Arabidopsis thaliana: one gene and its partner. The protein of the gene in region 1 interacts with the protein of each later gene in a pairwise test. Each region holds a gene or a part of one and is shown in the gene's direction. Other genes may lie near its edges.

What was found. The genes of interacting proteins can lie anywhere in the genome.
Region 2: the proteins of EMB2820 (region 1) and emb2191 come close enough for resonance energy transfer, tested with the Arabidopsis thaliana proteins (one study listed by BioGRID).

Annotation. Positions count from the first base shown.
Region 1 is NC_003076.8:8,444,742-8,454,021, forward strand, and holds EMB2820 (Cytidine/deoxycytidylate deaminase family protein), read left to right. Parts: upstream 1-3,212; 5' UTR 3,213-3,604; exon of another isoform or gene 3,605-3,678; 5' UTR 3,679-3,814; intron 3,815-4,113; 5' UTR 4,114-4,138; coding exon 4,139-4,211; intron 4,212-4,312; coding exon 4,313-4,364; intron 4,365-4,448; coding exon 4,449-4,525; intron 4,526-4,594; coding exon 4,595-4,728; intron 4,729-4,866; coding exon 4,867-4,949; intron 4,950-5,160; coding exon 5,161-5,260; intron 5,261-5,444; coding exon 5,445-5,855; intron 5,856-5,943; coding exon 5,944-6,047; intron 6,048-6,124; coding exon 6,125-6,305; 3' UTR 6,306-6,340; exon of another isoform or gene 6,341-6,551; 3' UTR 6,552-6,828; downstream 6,829-9,280. Other genes in the region: AT5G24680 (Peptidase C78, ubiquitin fold modifier-specific peptidase 1/ 2), read left to right, coding at 8,925-8,980, 9,091-9,223. UniProt on the Arabidopsis thaliana protein: Involved in RNA editing. Catalyzes the specific deamination of adenosine-34 in several cytosolic tRNA species. Generates inosine at the wobble position of the anticodon loop.
Region 2 is NC_003070.9:17,788,577-17,794,430, forward strand, and holds emb2191 (Cytidine/deoxycytidylate deaminase family protein), read left to right. Parts: upstream 1-1,787; 5' UTR 1,788-1,962; exon of another isoform or gene 1,963-2,336; 5' UTR 2,337-2,380; coding exon 2,381-2,437; exon of another isoform or gene 2,438-2,512; coding exon 2,513-2,550; exon of another isoform or gene 2,551-2,610; coding exon of another isoform or gene 2,611-2,660; coding exon 2,661-2,727; intron 2,728-2,934; coding exon 2,935-3,094; intron 3,095-3,179; coding exon 3,180-3,362; intron 3,363-3,446; coding exon 3,447-3,490; 3' UTR 3,491-3,755; downstream 3,756-5,854. Other genes in the region: AT1G48170 (proteasome assembly chaperone), read left to right, coding at 234-407, 501-569, 659-734, 816-880, 982-1,059; AT1G48180 (target of trans acting-siR480/255 protein), read right to left, coding at 3,949-4,197, 4,272-4,666, 5,066-5,141.

The DNA of each region.
Region 1 (9,280 bases):
CCATGAATTGAACAAAATTTCTGAAAATTGCTTCTGAAGCATCCAATTTTCAAGATTTTATATATTCATTCTAAAAACTTAATTCAATAAACTCATGTAACAACAAACTAATCGTTGAATATATTTTCTTCTCGAGAACGTTGACTGGACACTAAAAGAATGAAAGAGTAGTACTATTTGAATTTTCAATGAAACCCCACTTATTTCAAAGGGGAACTTCTTTTTTTTCTTTTTTCTTTCTTTTCTGTTTTGCTATTTCATAGAATATAGAGAAAATAATTGTTTTCCACTATTTCTCTTAATTGCTAAAAGGCATGTAGAAATCATTTTCTCACCTTTATATTTTCCACTAATATATTCCGCCAATTATAGCCATTAATTAACTTGGAGCAAAGCCTTTGTCGATGTAACCCACATTCCCACTTCTTTCTCTTAACTGGAGTATTGGACAATATCTCCCAAAGTCAAGGGCTGTCACGATTATACAGCTATTCTTGTATAGTTAAAGTTACGGCTACGATTCATAGTTCTTAAATTACTTATTAGCTATTTCTTTAGTATCTTTATTGGTGTGTATGGGGAAAACTAAGAAGACTTTGGTTATGAATGGTGTCATGAAGCATAATAAAATAATACGGTGCGGTTTGATTTTACTCTTGGTCATGTTTTTGTGAATCATATTTGGACAACACACCAACCTCAAGAAGTAGGGTGATTCAAGTATAAACTGAAAAATCATAAGCGTTAAATACCGATTAATACAATCATATATATATTTCGAAACTTCAAAACATTAGTCAAAATTTGATAACTCATTTATCCGTTACTCGCACCAAACTAATTAAGATATCTATTCAGCTTTTGTTCTATTCGTTCTACACCATTTATTCTTTACAAACTACATCTGTTATGCTTTATTTGTCTGTTCGTTTTGTTCTATACGTCACCTTATGATGTGTATCTTCGTTTTCCTAGCAAAGGTTGGTCCAAAAAAATTGATGGCCCGAATCAATATTGTTTTTTTCTCTCTTTTTAGCTATAATTCAAAATCTTAAACAATATTGGTTATAAAATTATGTAAAGTTGTGTTAAATATATTGGAAAACACAGAGGGACCGGTCACCAACTGTTGAAATCTTTAGTTGGAATATGCTCTATGGATGCTGATCAGTGACCACTATCTAATTGACTAAAAAAATAATCATCATTCATCCAAAATATCCTAAATAGATTTTAAAACACCCAATTACATCAGCAACTATATATGTTACGTGAGCAACAGCGCTATACATGTAGAAAATAATTTCCAGTTTTTATAACATTACAAGATCACCATAAAAAGTACGGATGTTAAAATGGGCTAAACATTTAGAGTCGGCCCAGGTCCGCTAAAATAAATAAAAGCCCGGTCCCGATTAAATCAAAGGAGAAACGTTTGGGCTTAAATATGGTTTTGCAGAAAAGGTTTCGGGCTTTTATAGGGCTGGCCCTATTATACTACGGTTCTGTTCGTTTCTCCATTTGACAGATCCATCCAATTGATCCATTCAACATGTCCATCTAGATGATTCATTCGACTCTTGTTCGTTTTATTTTTAGTCGGTTCATTTGACTGGACCATCCGAATGAGATGTTGTTCGTTTACTTATCTCTATCTCCATCCAAATGATTTGCAATAATACAAATACCTAAAATACCCATGCTTTCATCTAATTCTTAATCTAAAATATATTTAAAAGTAAATAAATTTCAAATAATAGTTTTTTATATTTATAAATTTATTTTACGGTTTTGGCGGGAAAACGTGATTTTATGATTTGACGGGAAAACTCGATTTTACAGTTTTGGCGGAAAACAAAATTTTACGTTTTTGGCGGGAAAACGTGATTTTACGGTTTTGGCGGGAAAACGTGATTTTACGGTTTTGGCGGGAAAACGTGATTTTTGCGGTTTTGGCGGAAAAACACGATTTTACGGTTTTGGTGGAAAAACGTAATTTTTTGGTTTTGGCAGGAAATCACGGTTTTACGGGTTTGCCGGGAAACCGTGATTTTGCGGTTTTGGCGGGAAAATAGAATTTTACGATTTTTGCGAGGAAAAAATGATTTTGCGGTTTTGGCGGGAAAACGTAATTGTACGGGTTTTGCTGAAAAACGAATTTTACGGTTTTAGCAAAAAAAATGATTTTGCGGTTTTAGCAGAAAATTTAATTTTTTATTTTTTAAAAAATAATTGTAAAATAAGATTTAAATCTATTTATTTATTTTATCTAAAAATACATCTAAATAATCAATTGAAATAATTAGGGTATTTTTGTCATTTGTTATTTTAGATTGAATCATCTCCATCCAAATGATCCAATTTAGTTCAGTCAAATGAGTTTCAAAATTTAGCCTAAATTTTCAAACTCATCCAGATGATTCATTTGGATGGATCATCTGAATGAACCGTTTTTGGCACCAAACGAACATCAAAACTCATCTCCATCGAAATGATCCATCTTACTGATGAAACGAACATGCCTACAAACTTTTTTTTTTCTTCTTTAACACTAAACGACGACGTCTCTTTTTTTTTTCTTTTTTTTTTTCTTTCTTCTTCTTCTTCAATCTTCTTTCTTCGATCTCTTATTTTTTAAACTCTCTTCTTTGATTGTGAGAAGCCATAAAAAAAGGTTCGATATCTCTCTCTTAATCTTTCATCTTTCTCATTTTTCTATTCTCATAGATTGATATATTCTCTATCTTTGGAATCTGATTCATAGGATTGGGGTTTAATGGTTTTCGAAGAAATCTGGGTTAAAGTGTGTTCGTGTGTTCTCTAAATTTGATTCACTAAACGTGGGTTTCGAAAAATTGAATTCTGTGTAGCTATGATCTTGTGGCATAAGGCAAACTGATTCCTGAAGTTGGAACATCGTTCTCTGGTTCAGTAGAGAACCGACGAACACCCTTCCCCATCTCCGACGATGTTGTTTTTCTGCTTAGGACACAAGTTTGTTTTGTTTTTTTTCTCTTAAACTTTCATACTTTCACACACTCATAAGTTTACACACATTACACATATATATAGGAGATTTCTTCTACTCACCATACCCACTCTCTTAGACCTTAAACTTAGTCACTATTTAACCTTACTTCTAGACATTAGACTTAGGGATACAAGCAACCTTACACAACCTTACCTTAGCCACTAACAACCCCAACTACTCTACCTCAAGTACTTAGCTAGAATAAGCTACTTCTACGAATGGGCCACAACAAAACATACTTCACCACTTTGGGCCTACACAACTTCATCAGCCCAATAAGATAAAACATAAAACCCACTTCTCTTGTCTTCTTCTTCTTCTTCTTCTTCTTCTTCTTCTCACGTCTCTCTCTTACGTCGTCTTCTTCTTCTAGTTTCCAATCTTCTTGTTCTTCATCATTGTTGTTTCCTTCTCACTGATGTTCTTCTTCTTCTTTGCAGGATCAATCGGAGAGTTCAATCTCAACAGACGACCATACCCTCGATACAGTAGCTGCTCCGCTCATCAACGTCCATTTCGCCGCCTTTAGCCGTCAACGTTCTCTGGTTCTGTTGCCGTACAAAATTCTTAAAGGTCGCGTTTTTATGTAAGCGTAGGGTTTAGTTGTCGTCCCGCTCTTTTTAATTAGACTTTGTTAATTTAATTAGGTTAATTAGATAAGACCTAAAACGGCGACGTGTAAGCTGTCGTCTTCTTGACCTTTTTGGTGAACTCCTCCTTCCTCTCTATCGGCTATCGCTCGCTGCGTCTCTGTGTCTTGTTGCTTGGAGCAAGCTCTCCAGCGTGAGTTAATCTAATCTCTGTAATGATTAATTACCTTCTTTTACGGTTTCTGGAATTGCATCTGTGTGTGAGCACTTGGTTTGAAATATGATTTAACTAGTGAATTCGATAATGCTGTTCAATAAGAATGCTTAGAAAAGCCTTAACTGGGTTTTACTCACCACTCTTCTTATTGAATCTAGAAATTGAAAGTGTGAATTTTTGCGAGTTCTCTTATTCAAACTTCACTGCGAAAGGTGGAGTTTTTCGTCTCTGTTTTCTCCCTAATTCTTATAGTTTGAGCTAATGGTGTTAATCAGGCTCAAGAATAGATAAAATAAAATTATGGATTCAGATGCATGGGAAATTATCCATATACCTGAAAAGCCTTCATTGTCACCTGACCATCAGCCCACTGGTATGATTCAATCTCTAAGTTTGGTTTTTTAGTCTATCAAAGGTTCTTTATCTAAACTTCTTCTTCTGTGTGTGTGTGTGTGTTGTTCTTGTTGTTCACAGTGAAGGTATATGCTAGCCTAATCAAACCCAGATTTGCCAATACGATAGTGAGGTTTGTCATTCTTGTTTCGACTCTTGACTCGTTGATTCCAGTGCTGTAATCTCATGAGTGAATTTTTTTACTTTGCTATGATAGGCATTTATGTAAGATTGCTCCTCTAGAAGATCTTCGTCATGTTAAAAGGGTGAAGAAGAAGATTCTGCCAGATTGCGGTATCCCATTGTTAGTTTTCTTAGCGCGCTGATACACCAATCATAAGATTATGAGGTTTTTATTGTAAGCTTATTGGACAGGTGAAACTCAGTTGACTGTCATCTTATGTCTAGCACCTGAGCACAACGATCAGTTGAGTGACATGCCACCTGATGTGCAGAGACTCGTTGATCCCTATGAGTTGAGTCCTTTTATTACACAAGTAGGTTATTTTTCTCTTATCTCACCACTATTTGCTTCAAGGGTTTTTGATTCATTTAGCTTCCAAGTCAGAGATTTCTTTCTGCTCATTCATTTATATTTTCAGTGCAATCTCATATTTCTGCTATAACTATGATAGGTATGCAAATATGCTGCGGTATCCAAAGAAGAGTGGGAAGAACAAAGTAAGATATGGCCTACTTCATTTCATCCACCAACCTAGTAAGCTCCATGTCTAGAATCAGTTTTGTGACCAAAAGAGTCTTTATTATCTTTCTGGTCTTTTTATTATATATGCTTTAGTCGTTCTAGAATAATCTTATTTCTTGATGGTTTCTATTGGTGCTCTTATCTGCATTGTAATAGCAATATATGTCTTTGTTTATAGTGCAACAGTCAATGATTTTTTACTTTTTGCATTTGGCAATGATAGCAATATAGATGGCATCGGTGGGTTCAGCGAGGAGGAAACACAATCAATCTGCAAGTTCATGAGAGTTGTTATTGATATGGCAGTATCTGGTCATACACCAGTAAGTATTTTCCATTGATCTACATAACGTCGATATCAAGTTTTAGACAACAGACCATTCATTTTTCATGTACCATTTGCTTTTTTTAGCGCCTCAATCCTTGTTCTCTTGGTAGAAAGATTTACCATCGTTTCATTACATAGAAAATGATCTCAATTTACCACATTTCTAATGTACTTTTCAGCTTGTGAATGCTGCAGTGATAGTTGATCCTTCAGTTAGGCGAATAATAGCTAGTGAAACTGATCAAGTATATGCATCATCTGCTCCTCGTGACATGACTAGCGCAGAGACCAGGCCCTTCGAGGAAACAGGGGAAATATGTTTAAATGACACACTTGAAAAACAGAATGGTTCATTGTCTGCTCTTTCTTGTCTGAATCCCTGGCAATGGAGTTTGCAGCCGCATGACACTGAAAATTGTAGCCAGTGGCATCCTCTTAGGCATGCTTCCATGGTTGCCATTGAATCCTCTTCTGCCAGAGATAGAAATCTGTTTCCCAATCCATCCAAGATTTTTGATCAGGATCATGTTCCGCCCTCAAATACAGATTCTCCGGCTAAAAAGCAGAAAACAAGCAGTCAGAGTCCAGACGTAAGTTCATTCCAACCAAGTTTTTTAATTTCCTCCACATGCTTTGACTAGTACAGCATTCTCTCTTACACTTCTGAGTTATCGATAGGTCCAAAATGACAGCAGAGAAGAGACTGTTAGAGATCCTTCAATGGAAAGGCCGTACCTCTGCACTGGTTATGACATTTTCCTCCTGTTGGAGCCTTGTACAATGTGAGTTTCTACATACATATTACCCTTTTAAACTCTGCAAGTGTGTGTATCTAATAAAGTCGTGATATGTTCCCAAGGTGTGCTATGGCGCTTGTGCATCAAAGAATAAAACGGATTTTCTATGCTTTTCCAAACACCACGGCAGGTGGTCTCGGGAGTGTTCATAGACTTCAAGGGGAAAAGAGTTTGAACCATCATTATGCAGTGTTTAGAGTTTTGCTGCCTGATGACGCACTTAGACAAATGACCACGGTCTAATGCATTGTTGTAGTCGATTGATAATCAGGTTCTGGGTGAGAAAGCTAATTCTTTGTTCTTGTTCATTCCAAGAATCTGGAATCTTATTGAATTATTATGTAGACCAAAAACTTTCGACTTCTATTACTGTGTATGGCTCAGTACTCTCTAGTCAGAAACTTGTGTTTTAGAGAAACAACAGAATGCAAGAAACGAACCGTCACTAACCAATCCTCACATGAAATAATGCATCTCTACTTACTGTAGTATCAGGTCATTGCATGGCCCAACTGAAATCATTCTTGCACTGCGCTCTCTTAATCTAACAACAGAGGATTGACGATTGCCGCCATTCGAAAATCGTCATTAGCTGAAAGACGAAAGAGGTTGTTATGAGGTAAATGGTGATAATCTCAAACTTGGTTTTCAAAGTTATAAGCTCATCTGATCGCGCAACACGTGTATATTTGTATGTATTAGATTTTGATAGGTGAAAAAAAAATTATGTAACAATAAAAAGTCTAGATTAAGACCTGTGTATGAGTGTTTTAAAATTATAAATTGTACTAAATTTAAGAAAAAGGGTTGTTTGTATATTTGTTTTTGCCTTAATACACTAATTTGCATTTTGATATTTTAAATTTGTTGTAAAATTTATTACAATAATCTAGTAAAGTTAAATTATCAATATGTTATTAGATCAATGTTAGAATCATTTTACAATATTCATATTGTAAGATTTGCATTTCAATATTTTAAATTATTGTAAGATTGTATATATATACACTTATTTATAGCCTATAGACATTTATTATTTCTTATTCATAATTGTAAACTAAATTATTAGTGTTAATTTTTATTTTGCCACAATTAATGTTAGATCTAAAGTTTAAAATCCAAGATTATATCATATTGTACATTTGTTTATTTACTTTTCATTATTCTAAAGTAGATTAATAGTGTTAAATCTCTCTTTTGCCACAATTAATGTTAAATATAAATTTAAGACTCCAAGATTAGATCATTAATTTCTTTATATATTGATATAAAAATCTAAACTAAGAATTATCATCGTACGAAAAGAATGGAGGGTGACAAACATAATAATTCTAAGACAATTTTTTCAATGCATAAAAAATAATCCTACGACAATGATTATATCAGAGGATATAGTTGAAGAGATATTTCAATATCTTCCAATAAAATCACTAGCTAGATTCAAAGTCTTGTAAAAAAATGGAGATCAATGATCAAATCAACCTACTTTTCCCACAAATGACTCGTTCGTACAGGTTTACCAACCCCTAATATGAAATATCTTCATGTTAGTCAACACTTTTCAGCGAATTTTGTTGAAGAAGATTCAACTCAATAACTTTTCTTTTGGAGACTTTTTCTAGAGATGACCATAACAACGGAAAAAACTGTCATTCTTCTTCTTGTTACTACACTTTTCCTGATGATCCAATCGACAAATGTCAAAATAAAACCATTCAAGTATTGGGATCTTGTGATGGATTGGTCTTGATTCAGATCCATGACGATTTTAGGCACATTTACTTGATCAATCCTTCGACTAAAGAACACATGAAACTTTCCAAAGTGGTGCGTCGTTGGTACGCACCTTGGTTACTTTCTTAGATTACATGACCGTGCATACATGATATTTGTTATTATTAGTTAAACTTATACATATCAACTTGATTACTTTTTTTAGCTTTGTAGTATCCGAAAAAACTTTTCATGCATGCTCCGTTAGACCTTTCGATCTGCGGTAATTTCCGTAACGTTCGCGTAGCCAGGTTGCAAATTAAATCGCAACCTCAGTATCTTGAAGGCAAATCAAACCTTGGATGGGTTTAGAAACATTTCAAAGTGGTGTTTCGTTGGTACACATCTCTTGTTGACCGGAAGACAAGAACAATGCTTCCTCCTCTTGACAAACAGAATGAAACAACGTTTCGGGTTTGTTTTGGTAGATTGGTAAAACATTGGTGACGAACAACACTCGAGGCTTTTTCATTGATCAACTCAAGTAAATTTCTCTGAATTCTACGGAGCAAATAAATGATGCACATTGCTTTGAGACGCATAGCCATTTCGCCAAGACTTTTAGAGGCATCGGTAACAGAATCTTCATTTGTAGATCATAAGGAAGTGTTTCAAAGCTTGAATTCTCCATTCTTGTTTTTTTGTTTGTTATGATATTTTGTGTTTTGAGACATAGAGACCTACTAAACACACATGTGATATTTATAAGAGATTCTCAAAAATTGGTTTGTTACCAACGTTGTGACTTGTTGAGTCGTAAAACGTGTACATGCATCTCTGATTTATATTTCCAAAAGAGAAATATTAGTTCCTCACATTAAAACTTACCATAATTATTGGCCAATTAAGATTCTTTATTTTCTACTTTCTCTCGTTTAAATTTATCTTTTAACACAAAAATAAAATAAAAATCATTAAGAATTAAAAATTCCAAAAAAAAATAGAAATAATCAATGCACCACAAGCACTCCAATTAAACGCAGGCGTTTTGATCATCACCGGAGGAGGTCAATTTCTGATTTCTTCCGGCGAGAAAACAAACGAAAGAGTGAAAAAAAGGCGACTTTTTTCTTGTCCCGGGTTATAAAGATGTCAGCTTTGTGTCCTGTCTGCAATCTCACGCTTCCTCTCTCCCTAATCCAAAGGTATCAATCCCTAATTTCAGCTTTGTGTCCCTTATTTCTATATGCTTCTTAGTTGCATTCTCTCGAGGTCTTGATGTGTTTGTCTGGTTATGGTGGATGGTTTGACTCAGCCATGTGAATTCCCACTTCGAAGACGATGAAATCAATCCACAAATCGAAACCGATCACCACTTGGCTCTGCAACTCGCTTCTGATGATCATTCTTCTGATGATCCTTCTTCGTCTTCCTCTGCTTCATCATCTGTAATACTTTCTTAAAACCCTTAAATCTTCTTTCCACTCCTGTGTTAGGTTCAGAAA
Region 2 (5,854 bases), on another chromosome or scaffold:
AATTCAGGAAGTGAAATTGCTCGGATCAGAGATGCTCGTATCGCCGGAGAAGAGCAACGACGGAGAAAGAGGAATTTCGCAATTGAGATTTATACCATCTAAAAACTTGAGCCGGTCTAAACCGTATTTAACCGTACCAAATCAGATTTAACCGGAGATGAAAAAGTGAAATTGATTTTCATAAGAAGAAGAAGAGCCAAAGAGGACCTGACTTTTCTCGGACTTGGGAGACAATGGAGACTGAATACGACCAAGTTCTTCGATCCGTTGCTCAGGTGAACATCGCCGACCAAATCGGAGAATCCGACGACGTAGAAAGAGACGGAAACGGCGTAAAAGTTTCGTGCTTCACTGAAGTTTTCGATGATGTTACTATCCAGTTCCAGATCATCCGTCTCGCGAAACAGGTTCCCGCCAATAAACTTAGCTTGGTCCTTTTAACCTAATTCTCAAGTCTTTGAGCTTCGTCGGAACTAAAATTGGACTTAATCGAACTACAGATTTACGTATGGGTCGGTTGCAATTCCGCCAAATTTGGGAGTTTGTACGCAGCCGCTTCAACACGACCGGTGAGCTCAGTAAAAACCTTGATTCTAACTAAAGCAGCAATTTTTAGGGTTTCTGTTTAAATTGATGTTTTTTTTTGTTTCTATGGCAGAGCAATACAGTGAGTGTTACATCGGTACTTGGTGGAACATCTGATAACACTGGATCTGGCATTGCGCGTAGATTAGGTTAGACTCTGATTATAACAATTCTTGCAATTTCAAATCCTTTTCTTTCTTGATGATTCAGTGTATTTTTCTGTGTTCTAGTGTTGAAGACTGGTCTCAATATAATACTGGCTTGCAACATCCCTAAAAACAATCCCTTGCTTGAGGTTCTTCTTTTTACTTGAGCTATTGTATTATAGAAATGTGAAAGGGACTAGCTTTATTCGATAATACTCATTGTTTGTTTCTTGTTTGTGTTGTTGTGTAGGCAAAAGCTGAGAAAGTGTTGATTAGAAAGCTGATTGATCTTGGTTACACAATGTCAAAACCTGTAAGAGCAACATAACCCAATTTAGCTGTTTCTTGAGGTTGTTTCTCCTTCATTGTGTCCTACCCTTTTTATACGGAAATTTGTGACTGATTCTACTAAGGTATCTTGATCGATTGGCATGAAATGATCACTTTTTTTTTGGTTTTCGATAAGTTTTCTTGGCATTGTATCTTGAAGATACTATCTTCTCCCCATTTCGTAGCTGCATTCATCTGCATAATGCTCGATGAGAAATGTTTAAAGCGTTTATTACTTCGACCACAAAACAAAGAGAGAGTTGGTTCCTTGTTCATGACTTTCAAATGTGTTTGTTTTCTTATTCTTCTTGCCGATTTGGCGTGATTTCTTCACCTAATTTGGAATATAGTTATGGTGATGCAATATTTGCATGTTTGATCTTTTGTTCGGTAAAAAGGCAAATCCTTTGGACATACCAAAGTGTCAAACTATATGATGAAACCATTCTTCTTTCCCTCTATATTTGTCACTTGATGATCTGTACTATTGAATTGATACAGAGTTACCACCAAGAATTAGATGATGTGTGTATATTGACGTCTATATAAAAATCAGAAGTTGTTTTGGCATCTAACCTTTAAATTTGTGAACTCTCTGACCAAATGTAAATAAAAAGAATTGATTTTTTTGGTTTGGTTCGGTTTGGCCTTACACACGGAAACTAATTGGACCCGAATAAACCGAAATTGAACAAAACCCTAAATTATGTTTTACTTCACTCTTCAATAAATCATGATTTTCTTTTAAACTTTTTATATCCATAAACGACGACGTTTTGGCTGGCATATGGTTTGGGTTTTTCACAAAATTTAGGATTGATATTTTTAGTTTTTTATTCTCAGAGACGATTGTGAGGAAGCTTGTTGATCGTTGCGGTCTGAGTAAGCGAGTAGATCATTGGTTTGTCTCTTCTTTCTTACTTCGATTCTTTGCTTCATCCAGAATAATCACAGTTCCAATTCTATTACCTTTCTTTTTGGTGTTTGTGACTCTTATGTTCATAGCTCTTCTGTTGAATTCACAAGCATTGTTTTCTTTTTGATCTGATTCATCCCTGAGAGCATAATGTGATTAGTTGTATTCCTGACACTCCTCTGTTACGTGTATTTTACTATTTAGTTTCAGTTTTGGTAGACACATATAAACTGAGAACATTGCAAGTAAAAAAAAAAGAGTTTTCTTTGAGAAATTTCTCTTTAGAATGGATATGCCAAAGAGTATCCTGATCCTCTACTTAGCTATATAACTAGGGATTTTTGAATCTTTGCTATCAGGTTTTGTTATTTACTTTCTCTGGCCAAGCCAACTATAAAAGTTAATGGAAGAGGACCATTGTGAGGATTCTCATAATTATATGGGTTTTGCTCTGCATCAGGTAAAACTAGTATTGGTTCTATAATACTGCAAAAGTTAGTTTGTTGCTTTTGAGTTGATTTCCCTATGCCTGCAGGCTAAACTTGCTCTGGAGGCTCTTGAAGTTCCCGTGGGGTCTCTATTTTTTTGCTTTGGCTTCATACCAATTTGTGTTTCGTACCAGTGTATCAATTAATGTCATATAGGATAACTAATGCGTTTTCTTTCTGGTTTGTGTGGACCAGATGTGTTTTTCTTGAGGACGGTAAGGTCATTGCTTCAGGGCGAAACCGAACAAATGAGACACGCAATGTAATTATTCAAACCTTTACAAGTAACTAAGCTTGATTTGTTATACATGTTCTAGTTATAAGCTACTGTCTTCATTCATTTATTGGATAGTCTATTTTTTTCACTGTTTCTCTCTATCTTGTTTTATTGAGTGACTCAGAAACGTATGATTGTTACTTCGGTTTATTCATCTATATTAAGGCATTTGTTACAATGTGGTTTGAACAGGCCACAAGACATGCAGAGATGGAAGCAATTGATCAGCTTGTCGGACAGTGGCAGAAAGATGGACTCTCACCTTCACAAGTCGCTGAGAAATTCTCGAAATGTGTTCTTTATGTAACATGTGAACCTTGCATAATGTGTGCATCGGCCTTATCGTTTCTCGGTATGAATCCTTACGCTGAATTAGACAGTTTGTTTGTTCTGTTTTGTTTCTGATGAGAGGTGATATACTCTGCTCTTAATTGAAGGTATCAAGGAAGTGTATTATGGATGTCCAAATGATAAATTTGGGGGATGTGGTTCCATTTTGTCGCTTCACTTAGGTAGTGAGGAAGCTCAAAGAGGAAAAGGATACAAGTGCAGAGGAGGAATAATGGCAGAAGAAGCTGTCTCTCTTTTCAAATGTTTCTATGAGCAAGGCAATCCCAACGGTAATAGCTCTCCCTTTAACTTGTACACTTCTATTCCTTGATAAAACATCTTGAAAGATCCTTTGTTTATTATTTGGGGTTTAGCTCCAAAGCCACACCGCCCTGTTGTTCAAAGAGAGAGGACTTGAGGTGAACGTATCGTTAAAACTGAAGTTCTTCGGCTTCTGCAACAACAACAATCAGACCTGAAGATTACACTCACAGTCCAGTTCAAACAACAACAATCCAGAGCAGAAGCCATAATTTGGGACTCCAAAAGCTTATTTATTAGTTTTGGATTTTATTCACATATATGACAATCAAAATAACATGTTTTGTTATCAAATCATGGCTACTTCCTGCAAACGAGGACTGACTTTAACAAAACTAAAACATAAACAATTCAAGGGGTCTAAGATCAGGAGCTGAAATGCCAAATTGGTGGAACATATAACATTCTTTAGAAGTAGAAATCAACTTCTGAGCTTACAACATATCTTAAAAAGTCTCCTGAAACATTATTCTTAAACAAAAGTCTTCCACTAGTAGCATATTGTTCTCTAGATAGATAGATACTTTATTAAGAAGATAAAAAACATCTTCTTGCTTAATCCATGGATAGGCGTGGGACACAAAAATCAACAAGGTAATCTGTTCGCTTTATGCCCGTGTGTGTGCCATCCGGAGAGTATAACTGAAACCACCTGCTCATAGCCACTTTCAGAAATATGAACTTCTTGTACCATACCTTCACAGTTCCAATAGACTTCCCTTGGATCTTCTCGACTCCAACGATGATGGCATCTCTAAGTCCGACATAGCTGGCTGGCTCACCTGACGTGCCACAGTAAATGCCCTACCACACAAAAACACAAATATTATAGATCAAATGTCTCTCTCTCTCTCGTTTTATATTGAATCTTAACTAACAGTTATAGCACTTGCGTCTTGTTGAAGTTCAATGTGTGGCTTGAACACATGCAATTTTGCTCCTACTGGTTGATCCACCACCATGTCACATGCTTCCTCAATAGTCTGAGGCTCAATCACTTGTCCTTTCATCGAAACGAGATCAGGTTTATACGATGATGGGGGCGTTATCACAGATCCCAAGCGTGGCCAATCTTCTGCTTTCGGTATGCCGCCTTTGTTTAAGGCAAACTCAAGACAGTCTTTGACAGTGAGCTTGCGCCCACTGTGTGAGCCAGCAGCATTGTCCACCACATACTTAGCAGAGTACTCAGTATAGACACTATCCAGCTTAAGTGCAAACCGTGCAGAGCTTATCAGATCAAGCGCTACAACAGCAGCAGAAGCAGATTCATCTGCAAAGACAAAAACACAAATGGAAACATGAATCAAAATCTGAACGTAATTCGCATGTTACCAAGATAAGAATATGATTTGAAAACATGATAAAACGTACAATGACAAGACACGTTAAGGGTCTAACACACAATATCTGAGAGAATCTAAAACCTATCATAGCAAACAAGTTATCATAGCCAACAAGAACAAAACTTAAGACATTGGTGTAAGAATATGAGCAGAATCAACCTAATGGGTAAAGTTTTGGCTTGCACTAATATTCAGGCTAAAACTAAAGCAATGAGGCAAAGCATTGATTCAACAACATACTAGTTCTACAGCCACAATTCACTCACATCTTGCAAAGCAGAGTAGCTATGTACTTTTATGAGTATGTTCTAGAGTGGCAATTTTACCGTAATCTTGGTGTTTCGCAATCGTGCCAAGAGAGAATGCAAATTTGAAATTGGGATCATAGGGTGGGAGTGCCATCTGCAATTACTTAACCCTGAAAATTTCCAAGGTCAATAAAATACATTAATGAAATGTGAACAGAGAAAATGGAAAGAACATTAACTAAGAAGGGATCCAAAGTGAAGCGGTTTGAACAAAGAGTTTATTGTTCAGAGGCAAGTAAAAACAGATCGATGAGACGTTTGTGGCAAATTCGAGAACCAATGTGATAGCTTATATACTAAAGAATGAGCAAACTACAGTAAAGGAGGATTAAACTCTAAAACCTAACGAAGAAGCTCCTCACCGTTCACTAATCACACTAAAAATAAAAGGCAATGCACAAGCAAAACCCGTAACATACCAAAGCAAGAGCTAAACAAATCCCAACAACTTAGAACAAAGAACCCTAAAAAAGACGACATTTTTATCGAAGAAATAGCAAAAGAAGATATTTTAATGACAAAAAGAAATGTGGCTAGATCGAGAACCAATGTGATAGCTTCTTTACCAAATAATGAGAAAACTAAAGGAGGATGTATTAAACGCTAAAACCTAACTAAAAGCTCCTCATTGATCACTGAAAAAGCAAAATGCACAAGCAAAAATCCGTAACAAACCCTAATACGTGACTAAAAGCTCCTCATTTGTTCACTAATCACACACTGAAAGGCAAAAACCGTAACAAAGCAAAACAAAATCCTAACTTAGAGAAAAAAACCTAAAATGTAACACTAATCGCACTTACAAAG